Linked DNA regions of Nothobranchius furzeri. The protein of the gene in region 1 binds, or shares a complex with, the protein of each later gene. Links are inferred from orthologs where the notes say so. Each region holds a gene or a part of one and is shown in the gene's direction. Other genes may lie near its edges.

What was found.
Region 2: tent4b (region 1) and zcchc7 share a complex: the UniProt entries of both Homo sapiens proteins name them as parts of the nucleolar TRAMP-like complex. The link is inferred for Nothobranchius furzeri from reciprocal best matches to the Homo sapiens genes TENT4B and ZCCHC7.

The regions. Positions count from the first base shown.
Region 1 is NC_091749.1:70,469,357-70,473,180, forward strand, and holds part of tent4b (terminal nucleotidyltransferase 4B), read left to right. Parts: intron 1-208; coding exon 209-337; intron 338-465; coding exon 466-679; intron 680-757; coding exon 758-884; intron 885-977; coding exon 978-1,078; intron 1,079-1,268; coding exon 1,269-1,468; intron 1,469-1,556; coding exon 1,557-1,703; intron 1,704-3,824. UniProt on the Homo sapiens protein: Terminal nucleotidyltransferase that catalyzes preferentially the transfer of ATP and GTP on RNA 3' poly(A) tail creating a heterogeneous 3' poly(A) tail leading to mRNAs stabilization by protecting mRNAs from active deadenylation.
Region 2 is NC_091747.1:79,080,986-79,084,809, reverse strand, and holds part of zcchc7 (zinc finger CCHC domain-containing protein 7), read left to right. Parts: intron 1-2,320; coding exon 2,321-2,528; intron 2,529-3,824.

The DNA.
Region 1 (3,824 bases):
AACGAAACCCCACTCGAGTTCAGATCAGGCTCCTCCCAATTAGAAAGAAGCGGCTGCGCATAGAAAACAACTGAATTAGCTCAGAGCTTCGGGGAAACGCAACAAACCACACATGTAGAATCCGGCCTTAAAATAACCACTCAACAGCAGGTTATCTGTTACAGGGTTCATATTTTTTCATGTGTGTAATTCTTAACCTCACCTGTAGAAATACCCCGTGTTGCCTTACCTGGTCCTGGTGCTGAAGCAGTTCCTCCTGCAGAGAGACCTAAACGAGGTTTTCACTGGTGGAATTGGTTCCTACAGTCTCTTTCTCATGGCCGTGAGCTTCCTGCAGGTCTGTCTGTTTCTTTCTTGTTTAGAATAAGAAAAAAGTCGTTCCGATTTAAATTTCCGACAGAGCTGAGCTTTAATTCTCATCCACATTATGGAAATTTTATTTGCTTGAGTCCTTCTGTTCCTCAGCTTCACTACAGGGAGGACGTGTCCAGTCCCAACATCAACTACGGAGTTCTGCTGATTGAGTTCTTCGAGCTCTACGGCCGGAACTTCAACTACCTGAAAACGGGCATCAGGATAAAAGATGGCGGCTCCTACGTCGCCAAAGACGAGGTTCAGAAAAGCATGATGGACGGATACAGGCCCTCCATGCTCTACATTGAGGACCCTCTGCAGCCCGGTATGAAGAGGGCGGGAGTCAGAATTCCCTCTAAAGGTGTCACGATTTCACTTTTTTTTACTGCCTTGTGTCGGATAGAAAACGATGTTGGCAGGAGCTCGTACGGCGCCATGCAGGTGAAGCAGGCGTTCGACTACGCCTACATGGTCCTCAGCCACGCAGTGTCACCCATGGCCAAGTACTACCCCAACAACGAGAACGAGAGGTAAGGAGCTGAACCTGTCGGAACAGCTGGGAAAGCTAATGAATTCATCTACAAATAAACATGTGAGTAACAGCCTTTCCTCTTCTGCTGAAGTATCCTCGGCCGGATAATCCGGGTGACTCAGGAAGTGGACGAGTACAGGGATTGGATCCGAAAGAACTGGGGGACCCCCTCTCAGAATGACTCACTTAACAGTATGTTCTTCTCTCTCTGAGCTACAGCTAAACACACACACACACACACACACACACACACACACACACACACACACACACACACACACACACACACACACACACACACACACACACACACACACACACACACACACACACACACACACACACACACACACACACACTCATCTTTCCTCTGCTCCCGCAGGGAACGACGTGACGTTATTCGGGTCTAAGCAGCTCGACGAGCGCAACAACAACGTTCCGGACAACGAGGATGTGGTGGTGGTTCATACGCCGGCTCCCCACAGCAAGTCTTCCTCAAACCTGTCCTCTCCTCCCCTCTCCCTGCCCTCCTCTCCCTCGTCTTCTCCTCTGACGCCGTCTTTTACGTCTTCCAGCGACGCGGTGAGTCCCTGCAGCTACGGACCGAGAATGTTAAAACACATTTAAATACAGAAATAATCTTCACGTACGTGTCGTTGCCTTCTTCCAGGACTCCGATGGAACGCCGTGTAAAACGGCTAAGCAGCAGTCAGGCCGAAGCTCCAGTTCTCACAGAGAGAAGCCTGCAGTGGTCGGGAATCATCGCACGCAGAACCACGCGGCCAGCACTCCGTCTGCAGGACCCAAAGGAGGAAAGGTACTGTCTGCTTCAGCATTGCTATGCAACAATCCTTATCAATTTCTATGTATTGTTTTTATTCTTTTGCTTTTGGTTTTAGTTTCCGACTAAAGCTGATGCAAGAATTACCTACAGTGGTGTGAAAAACTATTTGCCCCATCCTGATTTCTTGTTCTTTTGCATGTTTGTCACACAAAATGTTTCTGATGATCAAACACATTTAACCGTTAGTCAAAGATAACACAAGTAAACACAAAATGCAGTTTTGAAATGATGGATTTTATTATTTAGGGAGAGAACAAAATCCAAGCCTACATTGCCCTGTGTGAAAAAGTAATTGCCCCTCTTGTTCAAAAATAACCCAACTGTGGTGTTTCACACCTGAGTTCAATTTCTGTAGCCACCCCCAAGCCTGATTACTGCCACACCTGTTTCAATCAAGAAATCACTTAAATATGAGCTGCCTGACACAGAGAAGTAGACCAAAAACACCTCAAAAGCTAGACATCAGGCCAAGATCCAAAGAAATTCAAGAACAAATGAGAACAAAAGTAATTGAGATCTATCAGTCTGGTAAAGGTTATAAAGCCATTGCTAAAGCTTTGGGACTCCAGCGAACCACAGTGAGAGCCATTATCCACAAATGGCAACAACATGGAACAGTGGTGAACCTTCCCAGGAGTGGGCGGCCGACCAAAATTACCCCAAGATCGCAGAGGCAACTCATCCGAGAGGTCACAAAAGACCCCAGGACAACTGCAGGCCTCACTTGCCTCCATTAAGGTCAGTGTTCACGACTCCACCATAAGAAAGAGACTAGGCAAAAATGGCCTGCATGGCCGATTTCCAAGACGCAAACCACTGTTAAGCAAAAAGAACATTAGGGCTCGTCTCAGTTTAGCTAAGAAACATCTCAATGATTGCCAAGACTTGTGGGAAAATGCCTCGTGGACTGATGAGACAAAAGTTGAACTTTCTGGAAGGCAAATGTCCCGTTCCATCTGGCGTAGAAGTAACACAGCATTTCAGACAAAGAGCATCATACCAACAGTAAAATATGGTGGTGGTAGTGTGATGGTCTGGGGTTGTGTTGCTGCTTCAGGAACTGGAAGGCTTGCTGTTATAAATGGAACCATGAATTCTACTGTCTACCAAAACATCCTGAAGGAGAATGTCCGGCCATCTGTTGGTCAACTAAAGCTGAAGCCATCTTGGGTGCTGCAGCAGGACAAGGACCCAAAACACACCAGCAAATCCACCTCTGAATGGCTGAAGAACAACAAAATGAAGACGTTGGAGTGGCCTAGTCAATGTCCTGACCTGAATCCTACTGAGATGCTATGGCATGACCTTAAAAAGGCGGTTCATGCTAGAAAACCCTCAAATAAAGCTGAATTACAACAATTCTGCAAAGATGAGTGGGCCAAAATTCCTCCAGAGCGCTGTAAAAGACTCGTAGCAAGTTATCGCAAACGCTTGATTGCAGTTATTGCTGCTAAGGGAGGCCCAACCAGTTATTAGGTTCAGGGGGCAATTACTTTTTCACACAGGGCCATGTAGGTTTGTATTTTGTTCTCTCCCTAAATAATAAAATCCATCATTTCAAAACTGCATTTTGTGTTTACTTGTGTTATCTTTGACTAATGGTTACATGTGTTTGATGATCAGAAACATTTTGTGTGACAAACATGCAAAAGAACAAGAAATCAGGAAAGCGGCAAATAGTTTTTCACACCAGTGTAATTATAATAACGAATTTAGAAAGAAGAAACTGAAAGAGAATTTAAGTAACAGAAAACCAGAAAGGTCTGTGAAAATCACCTTTTTGGTGCTAAGAGACATTTTCTCTCAATCTTGTTCTGTTTGGCTCTTTTCTTACATGCAGCAACAAATGGGAACACATTGTGTGTTTTTGAGAGGCTGCTGCTAAAATAAAAATCATGATAAAAATAATTTGCTGTTTTGTAAAGATTTAATCACAGCCAGATGCTCGCATCTTGGAAAAATTATGTATTTTTGCTATTTTTTGTGTTATATTTTTATGATTATATTGGCCGCTCCTCATTCCAGTTTGCTGCTTCCGACGACCAGAATGAGCTGCAAATATCACAGAAGCTCAATACCTACATTCCATTATCT
Region 2 (3,824 bases), on another chromosome or scaffold:
TGTTTTTGATCATTTTTGTTCCTGAGTTAAGTTTTATTTATCGCAAGTAATATCGTCATCGCAATATTAATCATTGTTATCAAATATTGTAGGTTTTCCTTATTTCATGCAGCCCTATTAGATTCCAAATGTAATCAATTGGCACGTTCCTAGTTCGTAATTTGTAAGAAAGTAATCAACGATATTAGCATTAGCATCCCTATGGGTTTTTCCATGTATATTAGCACTGTGCTAATCACTTTCCAGTCAGATCGCTGCCTTTGCGATTAGAAAAGTCTCCTTTTGTCACATCGCTATTTAATTGCATATGCAATTAATCGTTCAGCCCTGGTGGCGTCATTTCCGTTTATCTGCGGGCAGCAGAGGATGATATCACCTACTACTGCCTGCGCCTTTCCTGTGTGTTGGTTGATCAAGTTCCATGAGTGGGCCTTCATTTCTGTTCATGTTCCTTATCTAAGTAGCTTTTTTGATCAACGGAGAAGGGGCGGGCAATAGAAGGTGAGATAGTCATCTGCTACCCACAGATAAATGGAAGAAACGCCACCAACTTCAGAAGTTGCTCTGATGAGGGCAGCAGTAGACGTCGAAACATGTCAGCAAAGGTAAAAACGAGCTTTATTTTCTCTGTGAATGAACCACAAAAAAATGTGATCGGATAAAAATCACTGAAACAAACTAAAAAACATGTTCAAAAGAGTTTGAGATAATTTGGCCTTCCATGGCCAACATGGGGTCCCAGATTTCAATAACAACTTTTTTGTTGCAGGATATAGCTTGTTGCTTCTACCTTAAGGTCTCTCATTGGTCTCAAGTGCGACTGTAAACAGCTAGGTAATTACAAACTTCTTCAGGTTTTTTTCCATTTCACGGGTGAATAATCGTTCCTATTTTCAGAGTTTTTCCGCAAGGTATTCTTCAAGCTGCTCAGTCAGTGCGTTTACATGTGCATCAGAAAACCGAAGTAATACCCTCAAAAGACTTGCATAAGTTTTTTAAAATGCATGTAAATGTTTTAGTCTGGTTGAAGGTGAACTGGTTTTAATCGAGTTGAAGCACCCAGATAATGCGTTAGCAATCCAAGTACATTCCGCATGTAAATGGGTCAGCCAAAGTAAACTGGTAGTACGCTCGCATCACAGAAGTGATGAGACTGCGTAAGCGGTCTTCTGACAAGACCATTGTCACAAAGCAACATGTGTAACACAATAAAACAGCACAGTATATTCCATAGAAACTTTGCTGCAGCGTTGTTGTTGTGCATCCCTTCAGCTGTTGTGCATATCCTGTTTCATTTTTGTCTGCTTCACTCCCACCAGTCTAACCGGTAGAATGCTGACATGAAACGGGGCGTGTCGCCACCTACTGTACCGGAGTGGAACACACTTGATTTGAGAAGCCGGTTTTCTTATGCGCATGAAAAATAGGATAAAGACCCCCAGCTTATTACAATAAGATCGAACCGGATCGACTTAGACGTCAGTCAGTGCGCATGTAACCGCTCTTACTGTCTGTCAGGCAAGTAAGCTTGACTTCGTCCGTCCTTGCATGCCTGTTGGAGAACCCTTGCACCAACGGATAATGGCATTGTGTGTCTCCGTACCAACAGAGAAGAACGTAGATCCGTACCAAAACAGATGGAGAAGTATAAAATAGGCTTATCACTGAGTGTGTACCAAACAAGGTCAGGATCCATGCGGCTTCTGCAAAGAACGAAAATCATTGAGTCCAATCCAAGCGTTGCATTGCAGAGAAGATTGGGATGCAGGATATTTCTGATTTTGGGTTTTAGATAGTCATGAAGTTGAAGATATTACATGAGCCAGAGGGCTATCTGCTTTTTTTCTAAACAAGCTCATGTTGCATCATTCTGTCTGCTTCATTTTTTGTTATTAATGACAGGGATATCAGGTCACAGAATATGATAAGCAGCTCCTCACGATACATCTTGTTGTTATCACAGGAACTCAGGAGCAAAGTTGTGGAGACTTTCCACACATGATCCGCAGCTTGTCCAGTCCACATCTCTTCCACACTGTGTAAAAGAGGCTTTAGACTCACCGTGACATCAATAATAAGAAGTCTACTAGCATTTCTTAGTACTCCTAACAGTACTTGGGAAGACTCAGTCAAGTATTTAAAAAAAAGCATAGTTCATGTATTTTGCTATTGAGTGTCTCACGAAAAATCTGTTCTCTTTACACAAGATGACTTGTGCTATATGTCACATTTTACTTGTAACTAGGTGTTGGTTTGATCAGTTCAGTAAGTAAACAGAAAACAACTTTTTAATCCAATGCTTTCTTGTTTGGCCATTTAGGAAATCCAGATTAGGAAAAGCAGTCTTGGAGTCCCAGTGACGGTGATTTCCAGCAGCTCAGACACTTCAGAATCTGAATCAGACACTGATTCATCAGACTCAGAGGGTTCAGATGATCTAGAGAACTGGATGATCCTTGGTCAAGGGATGCAGGATGGAGACCAGTCCATCTCACTCAACCTGGAAGCAGGGTCTGACTACAGCACAGGTGTGTTTGTTCATTTGTGTTTTAAAATTTGTGGATTTATTTGTATTTTTGCACATGTGTAGCCAGGAGAATGAAACCAGAGACCAATTTTGTTTGATTCAAATGCTTGAGAACATTCAGTCTACCTGCTGCACATTGATAAGGACCAGTTACAGCTACAATATTCTGCCTGTTAATGCATCTGTGTCGGCATTTTCACAACTTGTAAGCCCTTAGCATTTCTGACACTACCCAGCCATTTGCCTCTCTGATGCATCTTTAAGTGTGTGTGTGTGTTTGCACGTGCATGCATGTGTGTTTCTGAAGTATTCCAGGTCTAATCAACATGCACGTGTACATCCACGTGGAGGCCAACAGTCATAATGTTAAAATCAAAAACAAACAAGAGAGAGAGGGTGGGAGGGAGAGATGGGAGTAATCAGAAATGGAATAAAAATGTTCCCTGCAAATCTCTTCAGATCTACACATTATCTTAACCTGCAGCCTCAGCAACCTCTCCAGCTCCCTCCTCCTCCCTCCTACCTAATGCTCTTCCATCTCATTCTTTTATCCCATTTTCTCACTATTGTGCTCCCCTCTCTCTCTTTCTCTGTGTCCCTCACCATTTCTTCCTCATTTGAATTTCCCTGGGCTGATGTTTCTGCAAGAGTGCTCACTGCCTCCTCCACACACAAGCAGACTAAAGGAGGGGGTCTGGAGCTGGTGGGATGGCTTGAGGTTTTTGGCCTAGTTTTGATGGGAAAGCAGGATTTTAGGTCTCTGTCTTTCGTCTGGCTTCTCTCTGTGATCTTTGGAGCTTGACCTCATGTCTGCGCATTGGGGGTCATGGGTGTGGTGTGGAAGGAGTCTTAAAGTCAGAGGAATGGGGGAGGGCTTTGTCAAAAAAAGAGAAGGAAATAAAGGCAAGGAAATTAAGGGACGAGCCTCAGTAGTCTCGAACTGTGCTCCGATTCTTTTCTTCTGACTAATTCAAAGCTGGTCTTGGGTTTAATGTGTCTTCACCCTACCTGAAACAAGAAAAGGCATATTTACCAAAATATTCATTTATGCAAAAGGGTTGGTTTTTGTGTATTCAAAGTCACTTATTTTGCTGTAGTTTTCCTGTTTTCTTACATAAACACAATTATTGCATTGTTGGTTCTTTTTTAAAACACAGAAAAGGTTTCTTTTTTACTTTGCTGCATCATCGGGGAGGGGAGAGCGGATAAACGGAGTAGGAAGTGACGCCACCATCAGCGTCAGCTCTGAGGAAGTTTGCAGCCGCGAACGAAACTGTCTGCAGCAAGGTAAAAAAGA